4 linked regions of the Oreochromis niloticus genome follow. The protein of the gene in region 1 interacts with the protein of each later gene in a pairwise test. Links are inferred from orthologs where the notes say so. Each region holds a gene or a part of one and is shown in the gene's direction. Other genes may lie near its edges. The genes, in order: atxn1a, srebf1, kctd15b and rcn1.

Region 1 (7,752 bases):
TTTTTGGCCTAACACACCACCTTTCTCATGACCATCCCATGAAGCGAGATCTTGCATGGAGCTCCAAATCAACGTTGACTGATTCATTTTATACTTCTTACATCTCTGAATAATCGCACCAACAGTCGTCACCTTCTCAACAAGCTTCTTGCTGATGGTCTTGTAGCCCGTTCAAGCCTTGTCTAGGTGTGATATCTTCTCCCTGATGTCCTTTAACAGGTCTTTGGTCCTCTCCATGGTGGTGGAGAGGTTCGAGTGGAAGAAATCCACAATGTGGACAAGCCTGCTTTATACATGTCATGGGTTGAGATTGGGAGTATCTGTAACTGACTGATAGTCAGTCTGTGGGAGCCAGAATTCTGGCAGTGTTGTAGTGGATCAAATACTTTTTCACTCAATGACAAACCTTTTATGTCATGTCTTTTTTCTCGATTTTTGGTTGATTAGAGACTGTTCATTTTGTTGTAAGTAAGCAAACTTAGAAATTTAGCAGGGGATCAAATAATTATTTTCCAGACTCCACAACACTTCATTAAAGTAATGTAAAAATGATTGCAATAATGGAAGTGACTGTGAAGGAGGATCTTAGCTCACTCCTAACCAGGATTGTGGGATGTATGTGAAAAAATGCAGGAACCAGTTTACTAGTTACAAAGCAAAATTGTCTAAAAGGTGTTTATTTTGTGTAATTACAAGCAAAGCTGTGGATAATTCTGCATTTACGCAACTGTATGCTGCAGTATGTGACATGACAGCATGTAGGGAAACACTGTAAACCAATAACCACTTCCACATTTGAACAATGGGGGGAGCTGTGAGTAGCTATGAAACACACCACCTCCCCTCTGTGCACAGAGAGGGGACTTGGACAGAGCGCAGCCTTGAAATCTGAAGTGACAGCTGCTTTCAGAGCATACAGGAGGAGCGCTGCTGTTCTGCTAAAAAAAAGTCTGTATTGGTTTTTTGCAGAGAATGTGAAGAGCTGACACGACGATGCAGAGGTCCACATACACAAATAAGGAAAATGCAATACCACGATGCCTGAAGAGCTGCAGCCCTCAATAGGTGATTGTAGTGTGTAAAGTAGCATGCACTTCAGACACGCTGCTTCTCTGTCACTCTCTGCTGTCCAAAAAAAGAAATGTCCGTGACCATTAAAATCTTTGAAAATCGCTGTAAAGCTGCCTTTAAAGACTGGTGATGATTAATTATATATATCTCCCTCAGTGCCTGCTTTAAGCTCAGAGTGTTATTTATTTATCTGCCAGATAAACTGTCAAATCCCTTATTTGTGCATACTTTGTCTGTTTTGGAGCTGAAATACGTTAAAGCTTATTATTTTTATGTATGACTCATTTACTATGCAGGTACTAAGGATGTCACTCTCTATGTTCAAGGGCTGTTTCCATACACGCCCCACCTGGCACACTTCATTGTACCCGAGTGTATACTGTTCACACCTCCTACAAAGAACACAGGTACATCTCTAGGGAGGAACCCAACCCTCGAAGAATCTGCTCCTCCCATGGGAGTAGTTTTTGATTTATTCCTCAAGCACGCAATGGCCCTGCACTACACACACACTGCTATGGAGTCACGTTGTGCTCTGAACGGTGCAAACCATTCAAAGGGAGGCAATGTCAAACAGAGGGCTGCTGAACTGTCTGCAGAAGATGTTTAGCATCCTATATGTAAAGATTACATCGGCACGTTGTAAGAGCGAGTAGGTGTGAACCTGTGAGTACATGCAGAGGGGAACAAGAAGGTGCAAGTACATGCTTGCGTATGTGCAGGCCTGTGAGCTCGAGAGACACTGAGGAAGTATTTTTATTAAACTGGTGATCTATTTTGAAACGTGCGGTCAACTTACTGCTTCCGCTTGACTCTGGCCTTACACATTTGTTATTATAGGAAGTTCTATTTTAGCAACACGGCGTGAAACTGAAACTACGAGGTGCATTATGGGTGGTAGGTTAGCACAAAAGTGCACATATCACACATCTGGCTGATGTAGTAATGACAACAATCAGTCAAATCTCAACGTATTTAAGTCTCCTTTATGTCTCAAAGTTGCAGATCACTTCCACAGTTTTGATGGCCTTCTGCATGTTAGTGCACTATTTCCCTCACTACTTGGACTACGAGGGCTTCCAGGATCAAATGGCACACATGTGGTCTGGATATTAAATGTTTTTTTTAGTTTTTTTTAAATGAAGCTCTTCATTCCCTGCCTACACTTAAATATCAAAGTCCATTCAGCAACTCGCCGCATCTCTTCATGAATGTAATGCTAGCCCTCTAGCACACAGGGCAACCTACCTCTCTGTCTCTTTGTTTGGGATGCATGTGACAAGAGCACAATAGAGTGCTGGACAATAGGCCACTTATTGAGTGACTCGCAGGGAGTGGGACAGATCCCTGATCGTCTGTCACTCCGCAGCCTCGTGCACCCTTCGGCTCTCGGGCAGTGTCAGGTTGCATTCTCCTCTGACGAAGAGGCAAAGGCACTTGTTGTCACATTGGAAATCTGGGAGAGGTCACAGAGGTCAAGATAATAAAAACACAAAAAAGAGGAGAGGGTTAAGCGGGTGTTTATTTCTTTTATCTTGATAGCTTATTTCAGTGGCACAGCTTAGTTTTTGTGCTTATTTGACACATGCTTTACGCATGATTATAACTGATAATAATTAACTTTGAACTAGAGCGAATTGAATTTAGCCCCCTTAAAGTGAATTAGAGTTAATCGGGACACGAGTGCATAAACATCTTTCATAAGCATGTTTTCTAGCATCACTCCATCATTGTGTTTATGTTTGTAGCTATGCGTGTGTATGTGAAAACAGTCGCTGTCGGCAGCTGAGACGTTCCATCATGTCACTGTCAGCTGACTGTCAGTGACTGCCTTCAGCTGAACAGATCCTGAACTCTCTGGCTTTAAAAAAAAAACATACCCTGACCTTCTTCTCTTCTGAGAAAAAGCAGAAGTTTCCCGGTGCAGTCAAATCCAAGGATGACATGTTTTTTTGCAGCAAGTCACACTGAAAACAGGACTGACCTCGTACCATAAACAATAAGAACAAATATCTGAAGTGAATCTTGAGTTTTTGCTAAATTGCATCCAGGATCCACAGGCGTGCTGCGTGTTATATTTATTCATTCAGACTCCTAATATGCTTTGTGGCTTGTGTTCAGATAATATTCATTAACTTTTATGTTCTCTTCTTCATTTATCACACTTTATGTACTTTGTTTTGCTGCTGTGACACTTTTGTTCCCCTGCATGGGCTAATAAAAAATATCATCTATTCAAATTAGTAACACTAGATTACATAATACACAGATGTACCAATATACTAACCAAAAGCACAGGAAAAGTGCACAACGTGTCACATTATAATTACATATGTTTTACATAATACATATGACATTATTAGATTTAAATGGTTGAAGCAGTGACCTGCAGCCTTTTGATATTTTAGCCAGTGGAGGTGGATCTACTTTATGACTCGTTATGCCTCCTTGCTGGTGACAGCTATGCTACGAGGCATCCTGTTTTCTGGCTGTCCATCTGTCCTTCCTCTCTATGTGAAGGCGGTGTCTCTGGACGTCTGGCACAGAAGTTCACATGCACTGAGGGATGAAAGGATTAGCTTTAGGTGGAAAAGGTCAAGGCCACTACGACTTTGTAAAAATGTTTTTGGCCAGCGCTGTGCAAAAGTTATGAGCCACATTAGATACTGGCTGCTTTTTTGTTTTTACTCATTTTCAGTCCTTGTACGCACTTAACACTGACCTATGAATTAAACGTTAAATTCTGTCTCTAGGCACTTTGTTACTAGCAGGCTGCTGGAAAAACACATAATTTGTTCCCATTTCTTTTGTTGAATCTATGAAAAATACCTAAGCTAACAAAGTGTGACAGACAGGAAACAGTATTTTTACACCTCGAAGAGCTATTTGCTGAAAATCTGGCATGTCTTGAAATGGTGTGCACTGTGTCCTTGAAAAAAATCTGAGGAAACTGGGCAGGCGGTGGACAAAAGAAGAAGTGTCAGGCCTAAAAACAATCTACAGCAGATGAACAGTCTGTCCTTAAGGAATGGGCCCTTCAGCTGATCCATTTACTGTTCACTAAAGCCTCATCAGAAATGGTCTCCGTGGACGGGAGGCTGTCAAGGAGTCATTCTGAGAGAAGGGAAAGTGCCATCAGATTTTATTCCACCAAGCAATACCATTTGAAAATCAGCTGGTTGGCAACAGCTTCATTTCTCATCATGACAGTGATCCCAAACACACTGCCAATGCAATAAATACATACCTGGTTAGAAAAAACAAACAATGGAGGACAATCAGTCAACATTATTGAAGCAGTGTGGGATCATTTTGACACGGAAGTATTGATTAATAGATCCATATTTGTCGAGACCCCCTTATTTTAAGCTTTAAGTATAAATGCCTCAGAATTTTACTTGAGTTATATAAACTCAGTGTTGAGCTGTGCAGGGTTGTATTGTAGATAAAGTGTTTACACTGCTGAGAAGCCACTTTTTGAGTGAGGCTGAGTTAAAAAGAAATAATAATATTAATATTAACCATTCTTCCTCTCCCACAGCGCGCTTTTGCATTTGCTCCTGAAAAAGCAGCCCAATCTCCACTGTGAGTAAAACAATCGTGCCAATAAAGGAATACTGTGTATTCCCACACTCTGGCACTGTCAGCGAACCTCTCTTGTATCTCTGTGACTGCTTTCTGTGCTCCGAGCTCTCATATTTTTGCATGAGTAGTTTACAAACTGCTCCAGTTTTGAACTTCTCTCTCGCCCTCCCTCCCTCGCTCTCTCTCTCTCTCTCTCTGAAGGTGGGGGCAGAGAGCTATTAGCCGAGCGCTGCAGACATCATTAGGAGGGGAGACGCTTTCCACCGTCAGCGCCGGAGCAGAGCAGGGGAGCCCTGGCAACAAGGAGAGACACAAACTCAGCAGCCCGCTACACCCCGCAGTAAGTCGCACAAAACTATTTCCACAGAGCCGCTTTCGCCAACCTGTCACCGCTTTCACGTTGTCACTCTTCTCTTTTGGAGCTGGCTAAATTAAAAAAAATGGCTGGAAGAACTGGGAAGGGTGGCGCTGAAGCTCTGGTTTACTTCAAAGCCTTAGAAAATGTTTACTTCGCACTCTGACCTATTTTTAAGTGACCACACAGTACACGGCCACGCGGGCTGTGGGTGGGTATACTTGTCATTTGGGAACGTGAACGCAAAGTGTTGTTTAAATGGGACGAAAGAGGGGCGGAGGTTCGGCTGGATTCTGACCGAGCGAGGAGCGCGTCCGCCGGGTGAGTTGGGAGTCGGGCAGGCGCTGTACTTCCAGTAACTGCGCCACTCGACCTCGGCTCAAAACATTTCCTCTTTGCAGACTATTTCTTTGTCGGACATGTCCGAATAATGTCGCTTCGGGCCGCATACGTCTTCTTCTGAACTCTTGCCTTACTGACAGGGACTGTCACGGGAAAGCGTTACATTTTTTTTAAATCTACGTTTCACTATCGCGGAAGTGTTTTCTCCACACGAAAGGAGGCGAACTACTAACCACAGTCCACATGATTTCTACAATTTAAAAAAAAGCGTAACCGCAGGTGTTTTGCATGTTTCGATTAGTAGGAAGCATTTATTGTTGCGCACGTAATACTACACAGTGTTTTACATTGTCAGCTGGTTGTAAAGGACATACGGTTTGTGATTGCAGGACTACCCGTGATGTCATTCATCCTAGCATGGACCATTATATAACGGGACTGTAGGGAAGCCTGTGATAGCAAGCTATTTTTACTCTGTTTACACCTCAGAGCAGGGTAGGCTATGCGTCCCAAGTGGTAGCCAATGCTTTCACTCGCACTATAATTTTTTAACGAGCATTCCTAATGGCAGCAGACTGATTGACAAAGTGAATGCTCAAGATTAAAAAAAGAAAAAGAAAGAAAAAAGCTGCACTTCTTTCCACCAGCTGCATGCTTAAGTGTTCCTCTTTTCTGATGATGTCTGTGCAATTTATAGGAAAAACACGAAAAAACAGAAGTGGGTTTGCATTACTTGTTGATTATGTCATTTCTCATCTTTGAAGCCCGTCCTGTAGCCTTAAGCAATGAATGACTGGACACCCCATAGAGTGCTTTCAACACACAGATATCTCAGCAGATAGCTGTGATCGTGGTTAAACTTGCTTTCTATCTAAAAGACTTGTTTTGCTACTTTTTAAACGTGTTACTGAAAGAAATATAAAATATTACAACACCAACAAATTTGAATCTGCAGCTTTCAATAAAAAAAACCCCAAACACACTTTCTGTTTTATTCCATGGTTCTTGTAATTCACTCACTTGCAGCCACTGTGTGTTAGCAAACACTTGCAGAGTGAACCTATAGAGTCAGTGCAGCCCGTCGGCTCCGATGTTAGTACTTTTATGGTGTTGGACATATCTATTAGTGCTGTCGCTAGTTCAAGTACTTCTGTCCTCCGTGGAGGATGCGAGCACAAATGTATGAGTGACCCATTAATTAAATTCCTTGCTTGCTTTGACTCTTGCCTGTAAACACATGTTTCAGATTTTATCTGCACTGCCCATGATTGTTGTTATCCAAGTACTGAAAGAAATCTGATCCCGTGGTTGCCATAAATCCCATATACAAGCTCTTCCAACATTTGTTTCAGTGCAGTGAAACACACATTTAGAAACACCTTCATGTGGTACATGGTGTGGAAAAGTATTCAGAGATCAGTGTGGAGTTACTTTTTAATACCTTTTAATGTTTAATAATAAATAATTCGGATTGTTTATTTATTCAGAAAGACAGCAGGAAAAGTGTGAAGAAAAAATGCTCACTAGTTTGACTTTTGTCTCTCTTCTGTAAAAAAATACATAACCGACACTGGCCAGCCATTTTTTTAGGTACTGGTATTCGGTCAGACCCTTTTAAGCACGCATATCAACGCATTGAGTTGGTGGCTTGTGATTGGCTGTTGTATTTGCACTTAACAACATGGCCATTAAGTCTTTATTAACCATACTGAAACCATTATGTATTTTTTATGTGTGACTGGTATTAAATACAGCAGGTTGGAGAAGAGAGGAAGGGGTCGTATCCAAGAGGTACTCGGAAACACACAGCTGAGCTTCAAATCTTTAACAAGGGATGGATTCATGTATAATGATGGGAAGGATGTGGATAATGAAGTGATTGGGATCCGGTGTTAATCCCTGTGGGATGCCATGGAAAGGTCTTTTTAATGGAAATAAATTTCTCTGCTAGCGAGGTCGACTAGAGGCGTCCAGGAACTGTTCATGACTGAAGCTTTATAGATGTTAATCCACCGCGGTGCATTTTTAGCACGCAAATATCCACCGCTGTATGATGGCTGACAGCGTGCAGCGCGAGCAACTGGTTGCCTTTTGTCCCGTCTCCTGCACGTTCCACAGGCAGCAGCTTTGCCCGAACCACGCAGAATGTTTCTGGTGGTAAGAACGCTTATGAACGGGTCTGTCTCCTGCTCTGTGCTACCTGTGAAAATGAGCAACTGCTGCCAGTGTGCTCACCTGATTCTCCAGACTCTGGTGTTCAGGTGTGAAAACAGGCTGGGAGATAGATGCGTTATGAATGCTTGAGCAGAAGGGAGGTGTTAATGTAAAGGGTAGAGAGTGAAGATAGGGAGGTAAGGAGAGGCTGTTGTAGTGATTTAGGTAGAGTGGCAGCGATTTGC
Region 2 (7,990 bases), on another chromosome or scaffold:
TCCCTGTGCTTTCAGCCTTTCCCAACCAATCAATCTCTTAATCACGTTCAAGCGATTTGCTAATTAACTAATGATGCGGAATAATTAGCACGGCTGTGTGTGACATTAGTCGGCAGCTGTTAAGCCATGTCAGCAGTACAGAGTTAATGAGAACAATACACAGGCCGGGAAGTCCTCTTCTTATACAGAGGAGTGCTCGGCAGCAGTTCGTTGCACATGATAAAACAATAATGGCACAGAATCAAGAGAGGTTGAGTGTGTCTTTCAAGCATTTTTTTATTATTATTATTGTTTTTCTTTTTATCTTTACTCCTGAGCCTCTGGTGATTCTTGTTTTTGTGTGTGTGCGTGTGTTACGTTGTTTTTGTTGTCGTGTGGCTTTGTTGCTACCCCTCGTTGTTGTCCATGGCTTTGCTCCATAGATCCCAGTATCGCAGTCCTCTGTCATGGATGACATAGAGGAGTGGCTCTGTACTGACGTGGTGAGATTTTAATTTTTCATTTTTTTTTAACCTTAATTCATATTTTTGTTTTTCTACCCTCTCTTTCTCCCTCTTTTCCACCCTTAAAGCACTTTTCATCCAACCATTTCTTATAACTGCATACATTTGACCTTGGTTTTCTTTTTACTTAAAATCTTTACCTTAATCATTCACCTTAATCATTTCCAGCAATCACTTACATAACTGTTTGCCATGAGGTGAGACATATGTGGAAACAGTGCTAATGATAATTAACCTAAAGCAGCTGCAATGGTCTGCTTTAACTTGTGCATGTGGTGGTTGTGGTGGGGCTCTAGAAGGTTTCTCGTTGTGGAAAATGTGGGGAGGATGCATGACAGACGGATCCTTCATGAGCCACTCTGTTTGGAGTTTGTGGGAACTTTACAGGCAGCTGACTTGTGCCGCTTGTGTTGTTGATTTTACACTCACATTAATTAACTCCGTTCTTGATAGTTTTCTATAGAAATTTGTGTCTTATGTCATGTTTTTTCTTCTTCTTCTTCTTAATAGAAAGGTGATGCTGCTGAAGAAGGGGTAACTAGTGAAGGTATAGTCAGTTAATTCACACCTATGGGTGTGTTCTGTTAGCTCAAATGTGTGTGGGAATGATTGAGAGTCTTAACACTGTGACCCTCAGCTTCCATGTTTCTGACAAATCAATTTGTTTCTTTCAGAATTTGATAAGTTCCTGGAGGAGCGAGCTAAGGCTGCAGACACTCTGCCATCTCCCCCAGGACCTAACCCTGCTAACCTCTCCCACCCCGCCCGTGCCCCGAGTGGCTCCCATAAGAAGACTGAACGGACGGAAGATGCCCTCTTTGCCTTGTAGACTGTTCTCAGAGGACCTCGGTTTCTCTCCAGGGCATCTAAAGGTCTTGGCCCAAAATGACCCCACCCGCCACCCTCCAAAACAATCCTCCTAGTCCTATTTCATTGCTGACTGGCATTGGTGTAGCAAGTGATCTCCACCTCCTCGTTGTTATCTTGCCAGAGTGTCGCTCTAACCATCAGAGGTCCAACAAGTTTACTGCGCATTACCGCGTTATGTTTTACTGTATATGGATGTATTAATCTGTCAGTGTGGGATGTACTGCTCGCAGCCCTGCATCTCATTCCATAACATGCCACCAAAGGAGGACAACTTCACTTAACTGTCGTGTGGTTTAAAAATGTGACACATGACCGCGAGATTACTGGGAAATTTCTCTGAAGGTCTACTCACAGAGTCAGTATGGAAGCATTTAACTAGGAGTATATTGTGTTATTTTACTACATTTCAGCTAAATGCTTATTTATGCATTAATTGTTTTATTTTTTCTGTATTATATACTGATCGATCAGTGCATTTGTTAAGAGTTGTAGATTTCTAGTTATGCTTAATACTGAGATATGTGTGGCAGGGCAGCACCTCTTATTACCCAGTTTGCTTAAGGCACTGTAATGAACAGTTTCATGTTAGCAGGCTAATTTTGCAAACTAGGATTATAATATTAGCTAATCTCTTTAAAATGTGTATGCCAGCATTCCTCTAACCAAAGGGAATTAAGAATAATAAAAATCAAAAAATGTACTAGTTAGGATTCACTCTTATCTCGTATCTATTTCAGATAGCTAAGGGGAAGGAAGATGCCCATTGAAAAGCTACAAGAAGTTAATGTAGAAAAGTGCCGCAAACTGCAAACACTTTAAGCCATTCCAAAGAATATTGATGCTTTAATGACCAACTAGTTCTTCATTTTACCAATTGAAAAATAGTGACATTCACATGCTCAAAATAAGTTGCTGGATTGTCAAAATTTTCCTTCCCCCTCCACCGCCGCGTTAATGTCTGTGCACTTTGAAGCAAAAAAAAAAAAATCTGTATTTTGTCCTTTTGTGTTTACAAGATGCTTACTATTTTTCTAGGGGATGGGAAATGATCTTAAGAATGAGTTCATTTTGCACATAACTTTTCTAACTATGTAATTAGTGCGCTTGTTTGCCTAACAAGTGGATAGATGGACCATTGGACTGTTGGAAATTACAGAAAGATGCAACACAGAAATAAAGATTTAAATGTCAGCTTAGCACTGGCAACATAATCATCTACAAGACAAGTGTGCTGTGGTAAGAGATGTATTCACACAGGCAAATCTTCACATACTCCATAGTATTTAATCAATATACCTCAAAATACAGAAACTGTGGTTTCTGTAAAAAATCTATTGGCTCATAATAATATCAGGAACACTGAAAGGTTTAAGTATTATTTTGTTTTCCCCTTCTGTATTTTTATAATTCATGGTTAAAAAACAAAAAAGGGAAACGAACAACTGATGTTTTTGAGGCCGAGGTTGAAGCGTGCGGGAAGCAAGCATGATTTTACTTTCTTTCTGATTATGTGCAGTCAAACACATTACACTTTATTTCCTGTGCATTTTCAACCTGCTATGATTCATCTGCTCTCATTGGAGCTGTTGCCAAGCATTTCTATGACCGACTGATTTCAGCAAAGTTGCTCTGCCGAGAAAGGTTTTGTCTTTGATCTGAGGCAAAATAGAAAATCCGTCTTATTTGCAGCTCTTTTTCCAGTTCACTTTAGCACTGCTCTGCACTTCAAAAACATTTTCTTTTTCTCCTTTCAGTCCATTTAAGACCAAAAGCCTTGTTAATCAGAGGCAGCCCATTTGCACCTCAGTTGTAAAGCTTCTTGCTAACATAGATGCAAAGGTGACATTAAAAATGTATTTGTGTAATCAATGTATTTTAGATTAAAATAATAATAATAATAATGAGCTTTAATTTTCTTTCATGCTGTATGGTTACACTTGGTTTTGAGGGTTTATTATCATTGCCAGATAGCAGATATAAAAACATCTACCACGCAAGTTGAACAAGGACGATTACTAAAAATGTAACAGGAGATTCTTTAAAGGGAACTTTGACAGTTTTCTGTTTGTGTGTTCTGTATCTTTGCATCTGTAACAGAGTGTATTGTGTTAACTTGCTCTTATGAAGCTTAAGTCCTGGTTGCAACATGTATTCCTCTAAATTCTGGCTATCTTTAAAGTGGTAACTGAATGTCTTTAATACCCGCGAAGTGGGATATTTAAGCTTGTGTTTTGTGGACATGGAATTGAGGCTTGTTTTCTATCGGTGGGTGCTCCATGTCTCTCTGGCTGTGCCGTCTGCTGCCATTACTAATGGTCAGATTTGTATTTGACCTAATGCACGTATGTAACTGCCCAATAAAACACTAGCAGTGTGTGACCTCTACCTCATAACTGTTTGTGGTTATTTTACACTTAGGGGATCTGTGACTAGTCTCTCTTTTCTCATGCACATGCTGATGCAACCCAGGCTCAATCTTGTACTGTATTGGTCATTCATTGTGAAATGAGCCTTTCACCTTCTCGCATGTGTTTGTTTATGGATATTTGCACAACATAGATCCTTAAAAGAATCATTTTTTCCTTCCTTTACCTGAGGACCAAGACTAGACAACTTTACAAACTCCAGCAAACAAATGGACAAGACTTATTGTTACACACTTGACCACCAACCATGCTGGACTTTATATAATCTTACCCAACTTTACTGACAACTTACCAGTGCTACTCTAGGTCACTGACCTATTTTCCTACAATACCGTTGTGGGGTTCTACTTTTGTGTTACTATAACAGTGCGTTACACATAGACATTGTGAAACACCCACATTGCCTGTTTTTACGTTACTAATTATTATAGGAGAGAGAGAAAAAAATGTAATGTAAACCACCATTACGAAGAGTTGCAGGAACTGTTTTTGTTAAAATACATGTGCTCATTTTTTTATGTCCTTCTGGCTACATGTAGTTGTGCAGTTTATTTTCCTCCTGCTGTTCCTGCTTCCATCATTCCAGGAGCGAAACACATGATGTAATCGCTAGACCCATAGATGCAACGTCAGATCACCCCACTCTGATTCTGAGCTTCTCATTGGACGGTTTTACTGGTTCTACAGGAGGAGCCGCTAATTCGAGTCAAACAAGCTTGGCTGTCGCTAAGCGCACGCCCCACACGACTATGATTGGCTATTGGTGGCAAGCCCACAATAAACATGTCCATGCTGTATACAAAGAGAAAAAAAAATATTTATTTATAATAAACATTATAAAAGATATTCAGAACTGTATTAAGCTGCTCTGGAATCAGAACTTAACTCGTTTATGCTGTAGTTAGCTATTTTTTCATACCCATCAAATGTAACCATATAAATATTTTCTAGCCACGGCATCAGTTCTTCGATTACTGCAATTATTTGTTGTTTTTTGTACATTATCGGATTTTTGTGTGTAAATTGTGTTAGATCGTGGCCGTATACTCCACATGCCCTCACTCATTTACTCAAACAATCAAAACAAGCCTGAGAAACAGGGACGTGGGAATCTAGTTCAAACAAGGGTGATTGGCTGGCGCAACTGTCAATCATCATCGGTTGGATGGGTTTCTCCGGCTACCGCTGTAAGCACGTTAGTAGTGAATGAGCGTCGGTGTTTGGCTTGGTTTGACAAGTTTCCCAGGATGATGATGGGGCTAGTAGCGAGCAGTTAGTTGACACAAAAGTTACAAAAATAAGAAAAGTTGCAGCTCGCGTTGCGTGTGTGACGAAAGGACAGGGATCTTGGTCCTTTTGTCAAATGTAAGGACTCAGAAGTTTCCGATTTCTCCGACAGTCAGTCAAGTCTACACTGGAAAGCCCAGGCACGACAGTAAAGATGAACAGCCTGTCTTTTGACGATCATTCGTTGGATAATCTGGATCCAACACTGTCGCTTAACGACCCCAGTGATATTGACACGGCCCTCCTAAGCGACATTGATGGTAAGAAAATATAATGGCTGCTGCTGGCTTAAAACAGTTGTGTTTGCTAAAACCGGTAACACCGTACGTGTTATCATTCCTTTTCGTATCAATTCTTTAAGTGTTCTGCATGTAATAACCACACTAACAACATCACTTACAACGACATTCGATACAAAGACACCTTTAAAAAAATAAAAAAGCTTTTAAAAGCTGAGAGCTAGCTTTCATTATCCACTGTTAGCTACATGCTAACTATCGGTGAGCAGTTAGCCGGAGGTGATATTTGGGATGTTTTGTTAGTAATTTATAACGATGATTCTTGCAATATCAGAAGTCTTCTGTGTGTCTTACTGTGCAATAGAAAAATAGAAGCGCATTTCATGAGGCGAATATGTGAAGCTAACGTACAGCTAGCTTCGTGTGCGCCCCGCCCCCAGCGTGCTCCATAGACCGGGGTTACTGTCGTTCATTCCTCTTTTTTGGGTTCACGGAGCCTCACTTGACCGATTTGACAAATATAATGCATTTATGTATGCCAAATTAATCGGTTGAAAACTAATGTAACCATGTGCTCTGTGGACGACATTATTTTTTTCTCGCTAATATAGTGCTATCCACGTGCAGTTTTTTGCAAAAACAAACAGCATATATAGTCTGATTCATATATAAAATTCGTGCAACAATTTAAGCCTCCCATCGAAATAACAAGAGTATTTCGAGTAGTGTTAATATTTAGAGTTTTCTGGAAATTTTCCTAAATTGGCCAGTATGTGTTTTATGATAGGGGTCGACGTGTAAATAAGATAACACGCACTGCGTAAACAGTATTCATATCCTGCGGCCGTGCTCTCCATCTCCCTGACTTTGACCGACAGTAACCCTCTGTGACACTGCTCGATGGTAACCTCACACTCATTGCCACAGGCAGCTCTCCCTCTCTTTTCCTGTCTTGGGCTGATCGGCATAGCAAGTCTCCGAGATGCGCTCTGATTGGCCAAGAGCGATCACCTCATACACAACACTGCTTCACAAATCCAGGCTGCTGGTTTTTTTCTTTTTTGCACTGCAGACACAACATGAACTCAGAATCACTTAACAGATAAATTAAACGCGGTGAACTGTGCTCGTAAAATGCTGTAAAAATTATTTCAGTGTCTTATGTCTTTCAAGAGCACACTGCTTCCTAGAATTAAAAAATGATTAGTGAACACGTGCCATCTCACTTTGTTCATGTAAAGTTTTTTGTCAGTTTTAAATCTTTGTAATATAGCAAATCATCTGGAAAAGATACATATTAAAATGTTTTATATCTTTTAGATCATGCTAATGAAAACCTACAAGTCCATATGTGCAGAAGCACAAATTAAGATTAATAATTCATTAATAATATACCACTTGGATTCTTGGACCTACAGCTGCACGCACATGATGAATGGCTTGATAAACTGAAAGTGTGAAATGTACTGTACCCGGTATTTCTTGTTGTGTTTGGCAGTCTTTCTTGTTAAGTGTGTTTTTAAACTGCGTAAGACACCCTATCTCCTGCTTAGGATGTTTTAAAGTAGTTTTCTAGTAATTTATTGAGTGTTAATGGAAAATGTGATGAAACAAAACAAAATTTAGGTTTTAGCAATTTTAAACCGCTGTAGTCATAAGTACATGTGATGTACTACATTTACAGTCATGTGAAAAAGAATGGACTCTATAAAAGCAGAAGTTTTTTTTGGTTTGCAGTACACGGATTTGTGGAAGTCCAAATTCACCTCACAGTCAGAGAAACCTCAAAAAAACACATGAGCTATATAATCTACAGCACATTAAATTTTAACATTAATGACAGTAAAGTTAGAAAGAGACTGAACACAAATATGGGTTCAATTTTAAAAAAACACATGCAGGAGCAAAGTTGCAGCTAAACAAACCAGAACACTTTTAGAGCAATAATTCATAATGCACAACATCACACAGCATATCTGTATAAACACCTAATATCAACTGTTAAGCATAGCGATGGAGTAGTGATGACTTGGGGTTGTTTTTGCGGCCATAGGACTCGGGAACCCTGCATTGATTGAGTCGACCATGAACTCCTCTGTATTTCAAAGTATCCTAGAGTTAAGTGTGAGGCCATCTGTCCTATAGCTGATGCTTGGCCGAAATTGTGTCATGCAACAGGACAATGATCCCAAGCACAGCAGTAAATGTACAAGATTGTGACTGAAAAAGGAAACAGTCAAGGTCTTGCAGTGACCCAGTTGAGGTCCAGACATCAATGCGGTAAGAAAATGCCGCGGGGAGACTTTAAAAGAGCTGTGCATAAATGAATGCCTGCAAAGGTCTGAACTAAAGCAAACGCTGTTAAGAAGAGCGGGCCAAAATTCCACCACAGCGATGTGAGAGACTGATAAAGTCAAATGGAAAACAGTTACTTCAAGTTATTATTGCTGCTAAAGTTGGTTTGATAATATGATGACTCATTAGTTAAACGTATTTTTTTACAGGACTGCATAAAGCCCGCTAAAACCTTCTTTTTGCGACTTTGTTTGTTGTCATTTAGCATTTTTACCGAATACCAACACACACTTCAAGGGTTTGCTCCTTTCTATTTGAGCATCATATTGGCCTTATCCATTTTTATGCATTCCCCCTCTACACTGCAATT
Region 3 (7,356 bases), on another chromosome or scaffold:
GCTCTTCCCTTGAAGCGCATGCGATCATCGAAATGTATCAGTGAACAGTTCATTAGCCCTTTTGAAACACCAATCAAGAAAATGATATTTATATTTCTTATGGTGATATTGTTTATATTGATGTTTCTTCATCCACCTTGAAGCATCTTGATTCTTGCATCACAGTGCATTGTAATTTACCAATGATAAATTGATGTAGGCCTTTCTTACTCTTCTATGAAGAAGTAGGATGGTCAACCTTAGGAAACAGAAAAAAGTGGCAGTGTGTGGTGTTTATTTACAAAGCTCTACTGTGGAATTGCTCGGTTACATGCAATTTCAGGTCACAGAATGTGCTAACATTACCTGTTATTCACAGTGAACCTGGAAAAACTATTTTTCATTACGTCTGTGATGGTTCTCAGTCATCCAGGTCATCGTAGTCTAAGGAGCTTGGAAAGAAAAGCCTCTGGACTTCTGTAAGTTTCCTTGAAGATGTTTCACCTCTCATCCGAGGAGCTTCTGTAGAAACTTCTTGGATGAGAGGTGAAACGTCTTCAAGGAATTTTTTCATTACTTTGCTACCTACAAATGGATTGAGCTACAGAAGACTATGAAGCTTCATTCTCTGGCTTTATTTGAACATTTTTCAAAGGTAAAATTTATGTTTATGCAAAAACTAGAGGTGGCTGGATAGACCCAGATATTGAAAGTATTAATACCAACACTGGCATTGGTATTGAATTGATACTGACAAGTTAGGATAGATACTTTATTTGTTTATTGCCCGCTGAATTCTGTTTATTTATTTGTTTTTACCTCAAACATGCACTATGAAAAATGTCTGAACTTTAAATCAAAGTTATATGTCAAATAGGAGCTATAAATCAAATAGATGTGTTCCAGTCACATCTGTTTGATTTGTAGCTTATAGCACATTTGAACAACAGAAGATGATCCAAAGTGATTTAGTGACGGGCACATTTACATTCCAGGTATCCAAAAAACCCAGCTTTAAAATCCATAAAAGGTGAAAGTTGTGTTCTGTGTTAAATAAGTATTGGGGAAAGTAAAAAATCAATTTGAATTAGTGGTCATTCAAGCGTGTTCTGAATTTGCAAATTGATGATTCATCTTATGAATCATGACACGTGGCTCTCCCCTTGATAAGCTGCCTTTATAGCTTAAAAGTATCAGAATCGGCAATACTGACCCTGTATTTGCTTGATTTTAGATCAATACCAAAATTTGCAAATCCCACAGTAAGATCCCTTGTACATGCTTTTTTTAATCCTCTGAGATCCTCTGACCCCAATGCTAGTATCAAATCCAACCCTATGTTTTTGGGGGGGAGGCTGGATTAAAAGAAAAAAGTTGATGTCATAATTGAATATGTTTTTTATACACAGGTTTCTGTTGAAAACGATGTCTTGATCTCAATGAGACAGCATGTTTAAATAAAGGATTTAATAATAGTTAAGCTCATCAGTATGCAGCAGAGTATTCATTGAAAAGGGTTTTTTGTTCACAGTGTTACACCTAACCAGCAGATGGTGCCATGTTCCATCTTTCATTTGAGTAATAAGTATATCCTCCAGATTAAAAAAAAAAAATACCAGCATGCGCTCATTCATTGGTGTCAGATATCTGACCTGCTTGCAGCAAAAAATAAATGTTAAAAAAAAAAGGTAAGCATGTGTCTGTACCACAAAAAAGAAGGTGGAATAAATTGTTTTTAATAAAAAAAATAGTACAATTTATCCCTCAGAGGCATAAAGCATACAATACACTGTTGATGCTGTGATTAATATATAGTAGAAAAAGCTTTAAAAATCATATATAATCCTCTTGTGATAAAGCTGGAGAAAGGCACAGCATTGTCCTCTGTGCCACTTTAGGCAACATAACTAATAGCACCTTGCATTTGAACCTAGAGGCAAAGTTATTCTTCTCGGGGTCATGCATTAATTCATATACTTCATTAACATATGTCTGAAGGAGACTTTGAAATTTTGACTGATGTATGCAGTTGAACGCTTCACGTTGCAGCATAAACATCTTGACTCAGATTTGAGCAAAAATCTATGTTCATTTTGTAGTTTTACATAAGTAAACATTTAAAATAATGGAGAAATTATGTGGAATAATCCTTTAAAGAAAACTAGAACAGAGCTGTTATCTCTCTCTGTGCCTGCATCAGGGAGACCAAACATCTATAATCCCGTTACCTGGGTCAAATAGTACAATCAGATCTACATTTTTTAACCCTGGAAACGAAGAAAAAAAAATTAATCGTAGGGACAGTTTTTTGGACGGTTAGCAAAATAGAAATGGAAACCTGTCTGTCTTCTCACTTGCTGAGGTGCTGGTCAGGAGGACAGATGTTTAGATTTGGGAAATCTCAAAGCTGCATGCAAATCCTCAAGATGACCTACTTCTTCCCTTCCACATAGACACCGATAAAATCCATAAATTAAGGAAATTAACTGATGGGGCCCGGGGCCACTTTGTAAGCTATTTAAATCTTTAAATTTACAACATCCCTGCATACTTCATGTAATTGAACTAACTCCGGGCTTGTTTCCTTTAATGAGAAAAAAAATCCCGCTTTCCCTCCAGTCTGTACCTCTGGAAGCAACAAATCTGTGCCAGAGGGGAAGAAGGGAGCGCTTGAGGCACGCTGAGGTCTCTCTAATTATAAAGACTTCACTTGCTTCAAGGAGAGGCGCATTCTCACACATCCATCAGCTTGCTGTCAAATATCACCAGCACTTTTTAATTTTATATTTAAATATCCGTTATTTTATGCCGATTTTCTATAAATCTGTCTCTGTCTCTCTCTCTCTCGCTTTGTTATACACACACACACACACACACACACACACACACACACATATATATATATATATATATATATATATATATATATATATATATATATATATATATATAAGATAAGAAAATGTTAGAGTATCATAGTGATATTGCTTTGGAAATCTATGTGCTTAAAAAGAATGTTAATACTATTCGGGATAAACGAGGCTCCAAAATAGTGAGTGAATTGATGTATTTCCTGTGGACCAATAATAAGTTCCTACACTGGTTGGCGCCAAATATCAAGAAACGAATATTACACCCCTCTCACGATTCTGGTACAGAGTAATTACTGGGCTCGATGTTGCATCAATTATTCACAGTTATTTACCCGCAAATAAACAAACATGCAAATAAATAAATAATAGTTTCCTTGGCGTGAGCACCTGCTTGACTCCTTCTTCCCCCTTTTACTTTGTGCTGAAGTGGCGCAACACTTTAGCGCTTCATCACTTGCATTGTGTCTTTCTCTGTTGAAAAATAACAATAATCAGGCACAATCTTATTTTCCAAAAGTCTGGAGGCTGCCTCCTTTCATTGTTGAGTAGAGAGGGGGGTGTTCTGGGCAGATATCTCCATCTAAGCCCTGCGCTATAATTGAAATGGCGCATTTGGCTGCAGGCAGGTTGTGAGGGCGCTTTCTGCAGCAGCATGCATGCATGTCCATAGACGTCATTTGATTTTAATGGCCTGCAGGAAATTTGGCGTTACAACTCCAGACATTAAGGCAAGAGAGAGAGGGAGAGGAATAGAGAGCGGGAACACGGGGGAAAAATCACGGCATGAAAGATATTGGTTCAAGGATATCGCTTCATTTTCAACATATTTTTTCCTGCTGAGACTTTATCAACAAGTTATTGCGTCTTTATTATATGTTGCCTGAGTAAAGGACTATGGCAGCCCGCCCGCTTTAAACTTTAAATTTAGCTTGGAGATGGAGATGGAAATGTAATCCTACTAGCTGGACAGCCTGGGGAACTATTACATCAGACGAAATGACAATGATTAAAATCTGCTTTTTGCTGCTCTAAATCTATTGAGCGACAGACAGTTGCCTGTTAGGTTTCCTACCCCCTCGAAATCACAACTTCACACCGTTAAGGGGATCGGTCTACTTTTTGCCGGAAAAAATAAGATAAGTTATTATATCTATGTAGTCATAATTTCGGGAATAGAGGGTATCACGTTTTCTTCCTTGAGAAAATTGCCTGGGTGAGAGAGTGTAGTTGAGCTAATTGTAGCCTAATCCCTGGCCCAGAGGCGCTTGGGCAGCCCGGAGCAAGATTTTTCTTTTTTAGCTCCGCTCTGTTATTTAGAGAAGGATTATTGGCTTTCTTCTTCTCATAACAAACCACAGGGGCAGTTTCATTTAGGCAAAAAGGCAGACAAGAAGCCGAAATACGAAGCAGGATTCCAATAAGAGCGCACATTTTACGCGTATCCAAATAAGAGCAGAGAAGGGGAAGGAGATCATCTCATCTATGTTCAAGGTAAGGACGCTTCCTGTGCGCTTTGGTACAAAGAAGCTTGGTGAGGACAGGTCGAGCCAGCCTTGCAATTGAGCCTTTAAAGCCACAGAGACTCTTTGCAGTCGATCCTGGCCACAACCTAGCGTCTTTTAAAAGCAGTTTTGTGTGGGATACAGAAAAAATACTTGGCTTTTCCGTGCGGCAGTATAGGTATTGGAACTGGACGGCGGTGTAGTTCGGTGACAAACTCGGGGGCATTTGGAGAAAATATTTGAAAATTTTTGGGGGTTACGCGGACAGCAGCTGGGACTGACCGCCGGCACGGATTTCCTCCGGACTCCCTACAATGTTTGAAACGGTAGGGTGACAATTTAATATTACAGAATCCAATGTTTTTTACGCACAGTGTAGGCTTAGGCTGTACAGTTTTCGGGAAGGACAGTTGAACTGTGCTGGAGAGTCCTGCATAGGGCTACTGCTCGACCAAAGTGTATTTTCTGTCTTTTCTGCCAGACTGTACCCTATAGTTAACACGTGTGTGTTTTATCAATCGGGTCGTGTATTACACGTGTCGGGATTATGCTTTTAATTGTACAGCAGCAATAAGACGCCATGTTGAGCATTTGGTAGATTAAAGGCAGAGCACGGGCTTGTGGTGTTCCTGCGGAGGGAGTGTTGTATCGCACCGTTTCTTTTTCAGAGATTTCTGTGTCCTTTTTCGTGGTTGTTTTAAAGATCAGTCGTCAGGTTTATGTCGCTGTCATTAAGTGTGAGCTCGACAGCAGTATGTCTGAGCAGGGGTCAGCGAAGGGAAGCAGCAAGAAAGCAATTCAAAGCAGGAAAGTTGAGTCTCTGTAGCTGCTGTGATTTTGTGAAGGAATTTATGTGTTGTGTGTCTACGTGTGTCACTCACTGTTTGTGTGTATGTGATAGGGAACAAGGGAGTTGGGAACAACAGAAATCAATGAGAATGTGATCGGGATAGTAAGAAGATTTCTATATTTATTTTCCACATTTGTTCTTCATTGTATATCAGTGTAGGGAATTTATTGCTTAAATGGTGGATAAGTAGGAACGAGGAAGATACCCGCGATGGGACAGACCGATGGGTGTCCGTGTGTGTCTTTGTGTATGTGCCCTAAACTTCTTAAGTCTCTATAAGTTTTTTCTCTGTTCCTGGGTTTTGAAATGTAATCCCGTTTTCTTGTAATCGCATTAAACGAATACGATACTGCTGTGAGGAGGTCTATATATAAAAAAGTCTCCTGTCTCATAGTGTGCCCACTGGCATTTCTCTCAGAGCCGCGGGGATGATCTGGACTTTGGCAAAAGGTCTCCCGTCTATCAGTAATGACAGTGCAACAGCCCATATGTGCAACAGAAAACTGATCAGTTCACATAATTTAGTGAAAGCTGGGATTTTATTATATCAGTCTGTTTAAACACACACATGTGTACTATGAAGCTCCTATTATTGTTTTAGATTTTTCCTCAAATGGAAGGTCTGTATTTCAACCAGAGCCTGTAGGCACGGACTAGTGGTGATAAAGTGGAGAAACGGTGACCTTTATTTTGTGATTATTAAAGAAAATGAACTAAGAACAGTATATCTTTGTTTACTTTTCCTTTAAAAAAAAAATAATAAACTCAGCCACTGTGATGTACAATATGCTTCGTAACAGATAATAGTAACACTGAAATGTGGCCATACTGAGGTTTTGTGGTTCACCTGCCGCTGTTGGCAAACAAATTACGCACCAGTAGGTAGGTTGGATATAAACGCCTCCTCCGCTCCTCCTGAAGCAGTGCGGAATCAAATGACGGCGTATCGAATTGAAAATATTTTGTCAAACATTTCATCAGATAATCTAATTCAGCTCTGCACTGATCTCGGAGTGCTCCGGCGTGCTCCCAGTAAGCCCCAGTCCCAAATATGTGCACCCACAGTCTGTATACAGTAGGCTCTAGTGCCATGTACTTTACTTGTAAGATTATTTTAATGGTTAATCAACGACACTGAGCTACACCAAGTACGGAATAAGATACACAATAGTTTGGCCTGCAAGTAACATGATACTTCTCCTGGTTTCGACTGAAATCTGGTGCGTTTTTGTGCAGTACATGAGGCCCGTGTGCCTCAAACTATCTGCGGACACATGACACTCTTAATCTTTTTGTGTACTGAATGGATGCGTGTGCGTGTTAGAAGAAAAGTTGAAAGCTCCCTCCCCGTCGAGCTTTCCTTACTCTTAGATTGGTGGTTGGTGTGTCTGGGCGCATCACGTCTAACACATAAGGCGACCTTTAATTAGAATATTGCAGCAGCAGTTTATTTTATTCCCCTGGAGGCTGACACCTAGCATTCCTCTCTCTCCCCCCTCACCCTGTCTCCCTCTCCCCCTCTCTTTTTCTATCTGTCTATCTCCTTCTGTCTCTCTCTCTCTCTCTCTCTCTCTCTCTCTCTCTCTCTCTCTCACCCCGATTCTAATAAGCATCCTCCTATCCTCGCCTGCGGTGCTGCATGAAAAGATGCAAACATACTTAATTAGAGCGGTGGCAATAATTTCCAGGCTAAATATGCGACCAGACAGACATGGAAGTGATCTGATACCATTCAGAAAGGATACTATCTACTTCCCTGTTTAGGAGCACTCTGCTGATTTTTTTTATTTCTTCTTTACCTTTATTCCCATGGCTTTTCTCTATACTTGCTTTCAGGAGGGAAGAAGCATGTCAAGGCTGTCTCTGACCCGGTCCCCGGTCTCTCCTCTGGCCGCTCAGGGGATCCCTCTGCCGGCTCAGCTGACCAAGGCGAACGCCCCGGTGCACATTGATGTCGGGGGACACATGTACACTAGCAGCCTGGCAACTCTCACCAAGTACCCAGATTCAAGGTAAGATCAGTCCCTGCCTCTAGCATCACTGCTGATCTTAATGTATTAATTCATAGCTTATCTATTTTTTATTTTTTTAAATCAACTTTAAGAAATATGAGCAAACTAAAGAGTAGTTTAATCTGTCTCTTGCTGCTTTT
Region 4 (7,602 bases), on another chromosome or scaffold:
TTTAAAAAAAAGAGCTACAATTATATTTACTGTCAAACTCACTTCCATTGTGCACGATCTCAGTTATTTATAAGCCTTTAATTATTCAGATGCTCTGATTAATTGCTGTTGCTTAATCAAACTAACAAAGCTGTTGTCGCACCAAAAGAAGATCAAAAATCTGATAAATGCAGTGTGTGTCTGTAAGCGCAGGGCAAAAAGAGGCCATAACTGAACTGAATTTTCTGGACACTAATGCTCTGTGTCTCCCACCATAGGGTTTTCTTAATTACATTAACCAAATGCATTCTGCAGTGTGTGCAATCTCATGGTTAACTGAACACGCCCGTAGCTGCAGCCCCCTCCCTGTTCTATTCCTTGGTGAAATATTCATGTTGAAAGCCACTCTTGCCATCCACTTTCTCCTTCCAACATGTTAATGCCCGCTGTTGTTCAGCCATGCTACCATTGTTTGAGAGTATAGTCTTCGGCATACAGGTAACACCTAAAAATCTGCCCCTGTTGTGTGATCTAAAGTTAATGAAAGGGTCCAACTATCAATCCTGCTAAGACCATCATCATCACCAAGATAAAAAATCCTGTATTCTTGTATATCCATATGTATCTTTAGGAAATGCATCTCTTTGGGAAAACACATTTGTATTTCTTCATGTCTGCACAGCACACTGATTCAAATTGACCAGGCAGGACTAATTTAAATACATTAACTATTCATTAATTGAATAAAGAGGCTAGTTGGCCCCAGGGCCTCTTTATAATCATAAACTGGGGTGTACTGTTTATGCAAAACAGCAAAGTGCCATGTGCTGGCTTATTATGCTAATGATGAATGGCAAAATACATGTTTCTCCTGCCCACAAAGGAGGATTAGGCATGGCAGTGTCAGCAAGTTGTTTCCAGGGTACAGAGTCTGTTCTTCCATATTACCTCATGTTGAGATGGGGCTCAGTAATGTGATTCTTTTCGTTTTCTTCACGTGGATGTGATCACACACCCCTCCCTACACCAACTCTTCCTCTATCTCGAAACATTATATCGCAAGGACTTAACTAAACTGGATGACTTCACACTCTCGCATTGACTTATGAAGTTATCTGTAGTTGAAGCAATCTTTTAACTTTCCACATTCTCAGATATTGTTTATGATCCAAAACCCATGCTCTTTATTTCTTAAACTGAAAAAAATTAACTTAAAAACTACTTTAATTAAAATGACTAAAACCTAAACTAATTTAAGTAAATACTAAAATCTACAGTGCTGTGCAAAAGTCTTGAATCAGCCTCACACTTCTTTATAACAGAGTGTTCTTCAACATATCCTGGGCTCTCATACAGAAGCTTTCTTGTCATTTGTTGAAGTAGTCTTCATTAATAGTTCTCCAGGCTTCTTGAAGGACACTCAAAGCTCATCTTTGGATGTTGGCTGCCTTTTGTTCCCTTCTCGGTCAAGATGATCCCACAGTGCCTCAATAATGTTGAGGTCCAGGCTCTGGGGAGGGCTATCCATGGATGGATGGATGTCAAATCCATTGATTTGACAAAATCTCCAACACCACTGGCTGATATGTGGTATGATATACAATATGTGACATATGCGATATGTTATACAATATAACAGTCTTCGGAAAGTTGTGTTGTGCAGAAGTCAGGTTGGTACACAGCTGCCAAACCTATTTGAATTCAATTGAATTCAATTTTATTTATATAGCGCCAAATCACAACAACGGTCGCCTCAAGGCGCTTTATATTGTACAGTAGATCCTACAATAATAGATACAGAGAAAAACCCAACAATCATATGACCCCCTATGAGCAAGCACTTTGGCGACAGTGGGAAGGAAAAACTCCCTTTTAACAGGAAGAAACCTCCGGCAGAACCAGGCTCAGGGAGGGGCGGGGCCATCTGCTGCGACCGGTTGGGGTGAGAGAAGCAAGACAGGATAAAAGACATGCTGTGGAAGAGAGACAGAGATTAATAACAAGTATGATTCAATGCAGAGAGGTCTGTTAACACATAGTGAGTGAGAAAGGTGACTGCAAAGGAAAAACTAAATGCATCATGGGAATAACCCGGCAGCCTGAAAGAGGGGCCTGAAAACTGAAGGCTCTCCTTCCCATTCTACTTTTAAATACTCTAGGAGTATTAGTATTTAACACTATTTGACAACTGTTAAAATTCATATTATGGCGAGAACCAATCAGCTAAGTAAAGAGAAACGACAGTCCATCATTACTTTGAGAACTGAAGGTCAGTCAGTCCAGAAAATTGCTAAAACTTTGAAGTGTAGTCACAAAAACCATCAAGCACTACGACAAAACTGGCTCACATGAGGACCACCCCTGGAAAGGAAGGAGTCACCTCCGCTGCTGAGGATAAATTCATCTGAGTCACCAGCCTCAGAATTCGCAAGTTAACAGCACCTCAGATTAGAGCCCAGATAAATGCCACACAGAGTTCCAGTAGCAGACACATCTCTACATCAACTGTTCAGAGGAGATCATGCGAATCAGGCCTTTTATGGTCAAATAGCTGCTAAGAAGCCACTACTAAGGAAAAGCAGCAAGCAGAAAAGATTTGTTTGGGCCAAGAAACACAAGTACGGACATTACAGTAGAAATCTGTACTTTGGTCTCATGAGTCCAAATTTGAGATCTTTGGTTCCACCCGCCGTGTCTTTGTGCGACGCAGAAAAGGTGATCGGATGGTCTCTATGTGCATGGTTCCCACCGTGAAGCATGGTGGAGGAGGTGTGATGGTGTGGGGATGCTTCGCTGGTGACACTGTTGGGGATTTATTCAAAACTGAAGGCACACTGAACCAGCATGGCTACCACAGCATCCTGCAGCGACATGCCATCCCATCCAGTTTGCATTTGACCCCAAACATACCTCCAGGCAGTGTAAGGGCTATTTAACCAAGAAGGAGAGTTAGCCCCCAAAGCATTTCTTTGGGGCCAGTATCCCAGTGCTGCACCAGATGGCCTGGCCTCCACAGTCACCTGACCTAAACCCAATTGAGATGGTTTGGGATGAGATGGACCGCAGAGTCAAGGCAATAGGGCCAACAATTGCTCAGCATCTCTGAGAACTCCTTCAAGACTGTTGGAAAACCATTTCAAGTGACGACCTCATGAAGCTCATCGTGAGAACGCCAAGAGTGTGAAAAGCAGTAATCAAAGCAAAGGGTGGCTATTTTGAAGAATGTAAAATATAAAACAGGTCTTTAGTTACTTCACAATTTTTTGTTTACTACTACATAATTCCATATGTGTTCATTAATAGTTTTAATGCCTTCAGTGAGAATCTACAATGTAAATAGCTGTGAAAATAATGAAAAACAAATAAATCACAAGGCGTGTCCAAACTTTTGACTTGTAGTGTACATACATACATACATACATATCTTCTCTACCCAACACAGGAAATAATAGAGGCTACATCCGCTCAGCTAATCATCCAACTCGTTTCCAGAAAGCAGTTTAAAAATCAAGGACATTAAGGGGATACATTAGTGCACATGGCATGAGTGACACACACATCTATGAAGGGATTATCACTGATGAACAATAAATCAGGTTTTGGAACAACATATGCTGCCAGGCTTTGTCTTTTTCAGGCAACACCTTGCCAAACCACGTTCTGCACATGATTACAAGAGTAAAAGACAGTGGATGCTGAACCGGCCTGCCTGTCATTCACCCATTGAAAACGTTTAGGAGATTATGAAATACAAAATGTAACAAAAGCAAGCAGCTCAAACTACAGCGATTGGCCTCCTCAGCTTCCAGATGCTTAAGTCTTTAGAAATATGTTTCTGAAAGCATGTTAGAATCAGCATTTTTTTAAATGTCCCAGTTTCAACATCTGATAGGCTATGTTGTCTTTTTATTACTAAATATAGTGCCTGGCCAGTACATAACATTCCCACTAGTCACCCTCCCTTCCTTCATTTTCTCCAGCACTCTCAGACACACTAACACACACACACACACACACACACATTCAAAGATATTCCACAGCTGTTATCTTAACAAGACTTTAACTGTGTCATGATTCAACAGTTATTCATTCAGTTCTATAGCAGCTAACATATAGAATAATCCATCTAAATACAGTAAGCAGTACTCGTAAACTACTATAGTATATTTTACGGATTCAAGGAACTTTACCCTCAAACAAACATCAAACACTGAACTCAGTTCCAGCATGTTTTACCTTAAACGTTTTACACTGTAGCAGCGAGCTGCATACTTGTGACTGATGATTTTTTTAGACAGCAATGGTTTATTTATATCCCTGTACATCCGCGTAGCTGTGCACACAGCCTTTTCATTTCAAATGCACCTTATTACAAGTTGGCACAAAACACTTAAACAGTTCCCTAAGACTGTGTGTGTTACTCCCGTTCTCACTGGTTGCTCACTGACCCACGTTGACTCTCCTGCTCTGGTCGTTCGTCAGCTTGCAACGTGGCGCCCGAATCCCTCTCGTGTTACCGACATCCCGTGGACCAATGGGGGGGATTCTGGCAGTGGTTGAGGCTGGGGCCTGCATGAAACGGAGCCTGTGAATGGCTGTACGTAAGGCGGCAGGAAATCCCTGTTTGGTTGCATCCCTTTCATTGGGATAAGGGACAGGATTGCCTAAAACTGTGAGGACCGTAGGTGTTCATGGAGGACCTGTTTGCGGGCGCAGGTTGCGTTTCGTGGGTGTTTGAACATTGCTGCAACATTGTTGCGCTCCGCCGCTGAAGACAGGACAAAAAGTCGGCGTTTAGCGGTCCAGCAGTGAAAGGAGCTACACAGCCGCTTGATCATTGTGTGTTGTGGTGTTGTAGGCCCGTTTTGGAGATCGCTGTGCCCTCTGAGAGAAGTCAGGTTGAACACAGACTGATGGCCGGCTTCAGCTTCAGCTTCGTGTGCGCTGTGCTCCTCTGCGCCACTGTGGCGCAGACCAAGCCGACGCTGAGAAAAGAGAGAGTTCATCATGAGCCAGAGCTAAGCAGGCAAGCCCACGAAGACAATAAGAGCTTCCAGTATGACCATGAGGCCTTTCTGGGCAAAGAGGAGGCCAAAACATTTGATCAGCTCACCCCTGAAGAGAGCAAGGACAGGCTCGGGTAAGGAAATGCTACCAGCACTCTGCCACATAAGCTGATTTTTGGTATCTGAAAGTGAAGTTAGTGACAGGCTTGGTGGGATTTCGAAGGGCAGGTTGGAGCTTTTGTGTTTGTTTGTTTGTTTGTTTGTTTGTTTGTTTTTTAAAATCACACACTCTGCCGCTGAAGCCCGTTGCGTGTAACTGTTCAGACTAAGAACATTAAACATTTAAAAACATGGGAACATGTGCCTGTGAAAGCACTCCTGCTTTATTATGGCACCCACACTGTTTGCACACACTGTACACTTAATGAGTATTTGTAATTAAGATTTCTGCAGACTATTAAAGATTCATTTATAGGGGTGAAGTTTAAGGAAAGTTTAATCGCCGAAGTTCTGCACGTAGGTATTCTGTACAAAACTGCAGTGTACGCAGTGTACTCAGTGTGCCACGTGGTTCTGTTTGCAGGATTCTTCGAGTATTAAACGTTTTTTTTTCTTCTGCCACTGCTGCAGTGACAAGTTGGCACCATGTGACGCAAGTTAGTCCAGAAAACTCCTGCTTGTTGTCTTGAAAGAGGGAGGACCCCTGTAATATCACAACGTGGCAGCCCAGGTCTAAGAATACACCACAGATGCACTGCAGTTTTTAGCCTTCTAAACTGGGTTTGCCTGCCCCTCCCTCAGAAATCGTCTCTATGAATCCACATTACTTGTAGGAAATTATTTATTTATTAATTATTAATCCAGCCTGTCATTAATCAGTATCTCATTGCTAAAGTCTTCAGTCACTCTATATTTTACTTTTATGCTTTCCTTCTTACATTTAATTGGTTTTAAGCGGTAGTTATCTAGTCTGAAAGTCTTTCAAAGTTTTTCTTTGGACATCTATTTTGTTTTCCCCCCTAATTTTTAGTCCATTCCTTCATTTTCATTTTTATTTTTTGTTTCTTAAATCACTTAACACTAACATGAATCATTCAAGCGTTAAAAAGCAGGAAGTGGACAGTTGGTGAACAATAAAAAGGAAGTAGCAGGTCTATAAAGGACTAATTACAGCAGATGAACAGTATCTGAAAGTTATATTCTTAAGAAAAAGGACAAAAATCAACCGAAGACTTGATGCAGGACCAGAGAGACAAATCTCTCTTTAGTTGCTCCATCTGTTGTTCACTGAAAGCCTCATCAGAAGTGGTCTCAGTGGAAGGGTTGCTGTGAAGAAGATTAAATGGGGAGAAAAAGCAGAGAGATCCAAATTTGAAATTTTGGGTTTAAATTGTTGTGTGTGTGAAGAAGAGGTCAGGAGAAAGGTGTAACATTAAGTATCTACAGCCATCTGTAAAACAGTGGAGGCTCTATCAACTTTACGTACTGTCACTTTACAACACAGAAAGGAAAAAATATTCAAATAAAACAAAATAATAAGTAAAATCTGCACTTGTCAAGGTTTGGGTTTGCATTTCAGCCGGTGGTTTGGGGGATCTGGTCAAATTTAACAGAATTACTGATGCAGAAAAATACCATTAGATTTTGATCCACCATCTAATACCATCTGAAAAGCATCTTATCAGCAAGACTTCATTTTTCAGTATAGCAATGATCCCAAACACAATGCCAATGCGGTTAAAGCATACCTGGACTGAAAAACACACATTAACATTATCAGTCATGGACTGGTCTCCCCAGAGCCCGGACTTCAACACTACTGAAGCTGTGTGAGATCATCTTGACAGAGAACATTACAAAAAGCAGCCAACATCCAAATAAGAGCTTTGACTGTTCTTCAAGAAGCCTGGAGAATTGGCCCTGAAGCCTGCTTAAAGAAGAATAAACACTGCCATACAAAATACTGACTTTTAAACTTGTTAAATTGTAAAACCTCAGTTTTTGCCTTCTATATTGAATTTCAGCAAATTTTTTGCACATTTCAATAAATCAATATTTTCACCCAAAATATAAAGAAATGAGGGGCGGAGTCAATACTTTTGCACAGCACTGTATGTAGCCTATGTATGCCTATAAGATTTAGTTGATGTATCACTAATATCTCTCTTTGCACCTGCCCAACAGAAAAATTGTGGACCGAATAGACAGCGATGCAGATGGCTACATCACCACAGCTGAACTCAAGGCTTGGATAAAGCGCGTACAGAAGCGTTATGTATATGAGAATGTGGCCAAGGTGTGGACTGATTATGACCTGAATAAGGACAATAAGATTTCCTGGGATGAGTACAAACAAGCCACATATGGATACTACCTCGGTATGGGCTCACTAGTTCAAGACACATGATGTATTTTTGTTTTGTTCTTTTAGTACTAAAGTATTACATGGCTATTAAACCCGATTCATTTTTTAGTCATGTTTTTTTTTTCACCCTCTTAGCCAACCCGGAAGAATTTGAAGATGCCACGGACCAGTTCAGCTTCAAGAAGATGCTCCCTCGTGATGAGAGGAGGTTTAAAGCAGCTGATCTGAACAGGGACCTGGCAGCAGACAGAG

What was found.
Region 2: the proteins of atxn1a (region 1) and srebf1 interact in binary tests that used the Homo sapiens proteins (3 or more experiments, as listed by UniProt). The link is inferred for Oreochromis niloticus from reciprocal best matches to the Homo sapiens genes ATXN1 and SREBF1.
Region 3: the proteins of atxn1a (region 1) and kctd15b interact in binary tests that used the Homo sapiens proteins (3 or more experiments, as listed by UniProt). The link is inferred for Oreochromis niloticus from reciprocal best matches to the Homo sapiens genes ATXN1 and KCTD15.
Region 4: the proteins of atxn1a (region 1) and rcn1 interact in binary tests that used the Homo sapiens proteins (3 or more experiments, as listed by UniProt). The link is inferred for Oreochromis niloticus from reciprocal best matches to the Homo sapiens genes ATXN1 and RCN1.

Annotation. Positions count from the first base shown.
Region 1 is NC_031985.2:20,491,289-20,499,040, reverse strand, and holds the start of atxn1a (ataxin-1a), read left to right. Parts: upstream 1-4,733; 5' UTR 4,734-4,996; intron 4,997-7,752. UniProt on the Homo sapiens protein: Chromatin-binding factor that repress Notch signaling in the absence of Notch intracellular domain by acting as a CBF1 corepressor. Binds to the HEY promoter and might assist, along with NCOR2, RBPJ-mediated repression. Binds RNA in vitro.
Region 2 is NC_031969.2:18,055,460-18,063,449, reverse strand, and holds the start of srebf1 (sterol regulatory element-binding protein 1), read left to right. Parts: upstream 1-4,976; 5' UTR 4,977-5,240; coding exon 5,241-5,346; intron 5,347-7,990. Other genes in the region: tom1l2a (TOM1-like protein 2), read left to right, coding at 423-482, 1,014-1,050, 1,178-1,332.
Region 3 is NC_031965.2:31,958,737-31,966,092, reverse strand, and holds the start of kctd15b (BTB/POZ domain-containing protein kctd15), read left to right. Parts: upstream 1-4,352; 5' UTR 4,353-4,668; coding exon 4,669-4,680; intron 4,681-7,040; coding exon 7,041-7,216; intron 7,217-7,356. UniProt on the Homo sapiens protein: During embryonic development, it is involved in neural crest formation. Inhibits AP2 transcriptional activity by interaction with its activation domain.
Region 4 is NC_031965.2:24,276,969-24,284,570, reverse strand, and holds the start of rcn1 (reticulocalbin-1), read left to right. Parts: upstream 1-4,584; 5' UTR 4,585-4,892; coding exon 4,893-5,119; intron 5,120-7,169; coding exon 7,170-7,363; intron 7,364-7,485; coding exon 7,486-7,602. UniProt on the Homo sapiens protein: May regulate calcium-dependent activities in the endoplasmic reticulum lumen or post-ER compartment.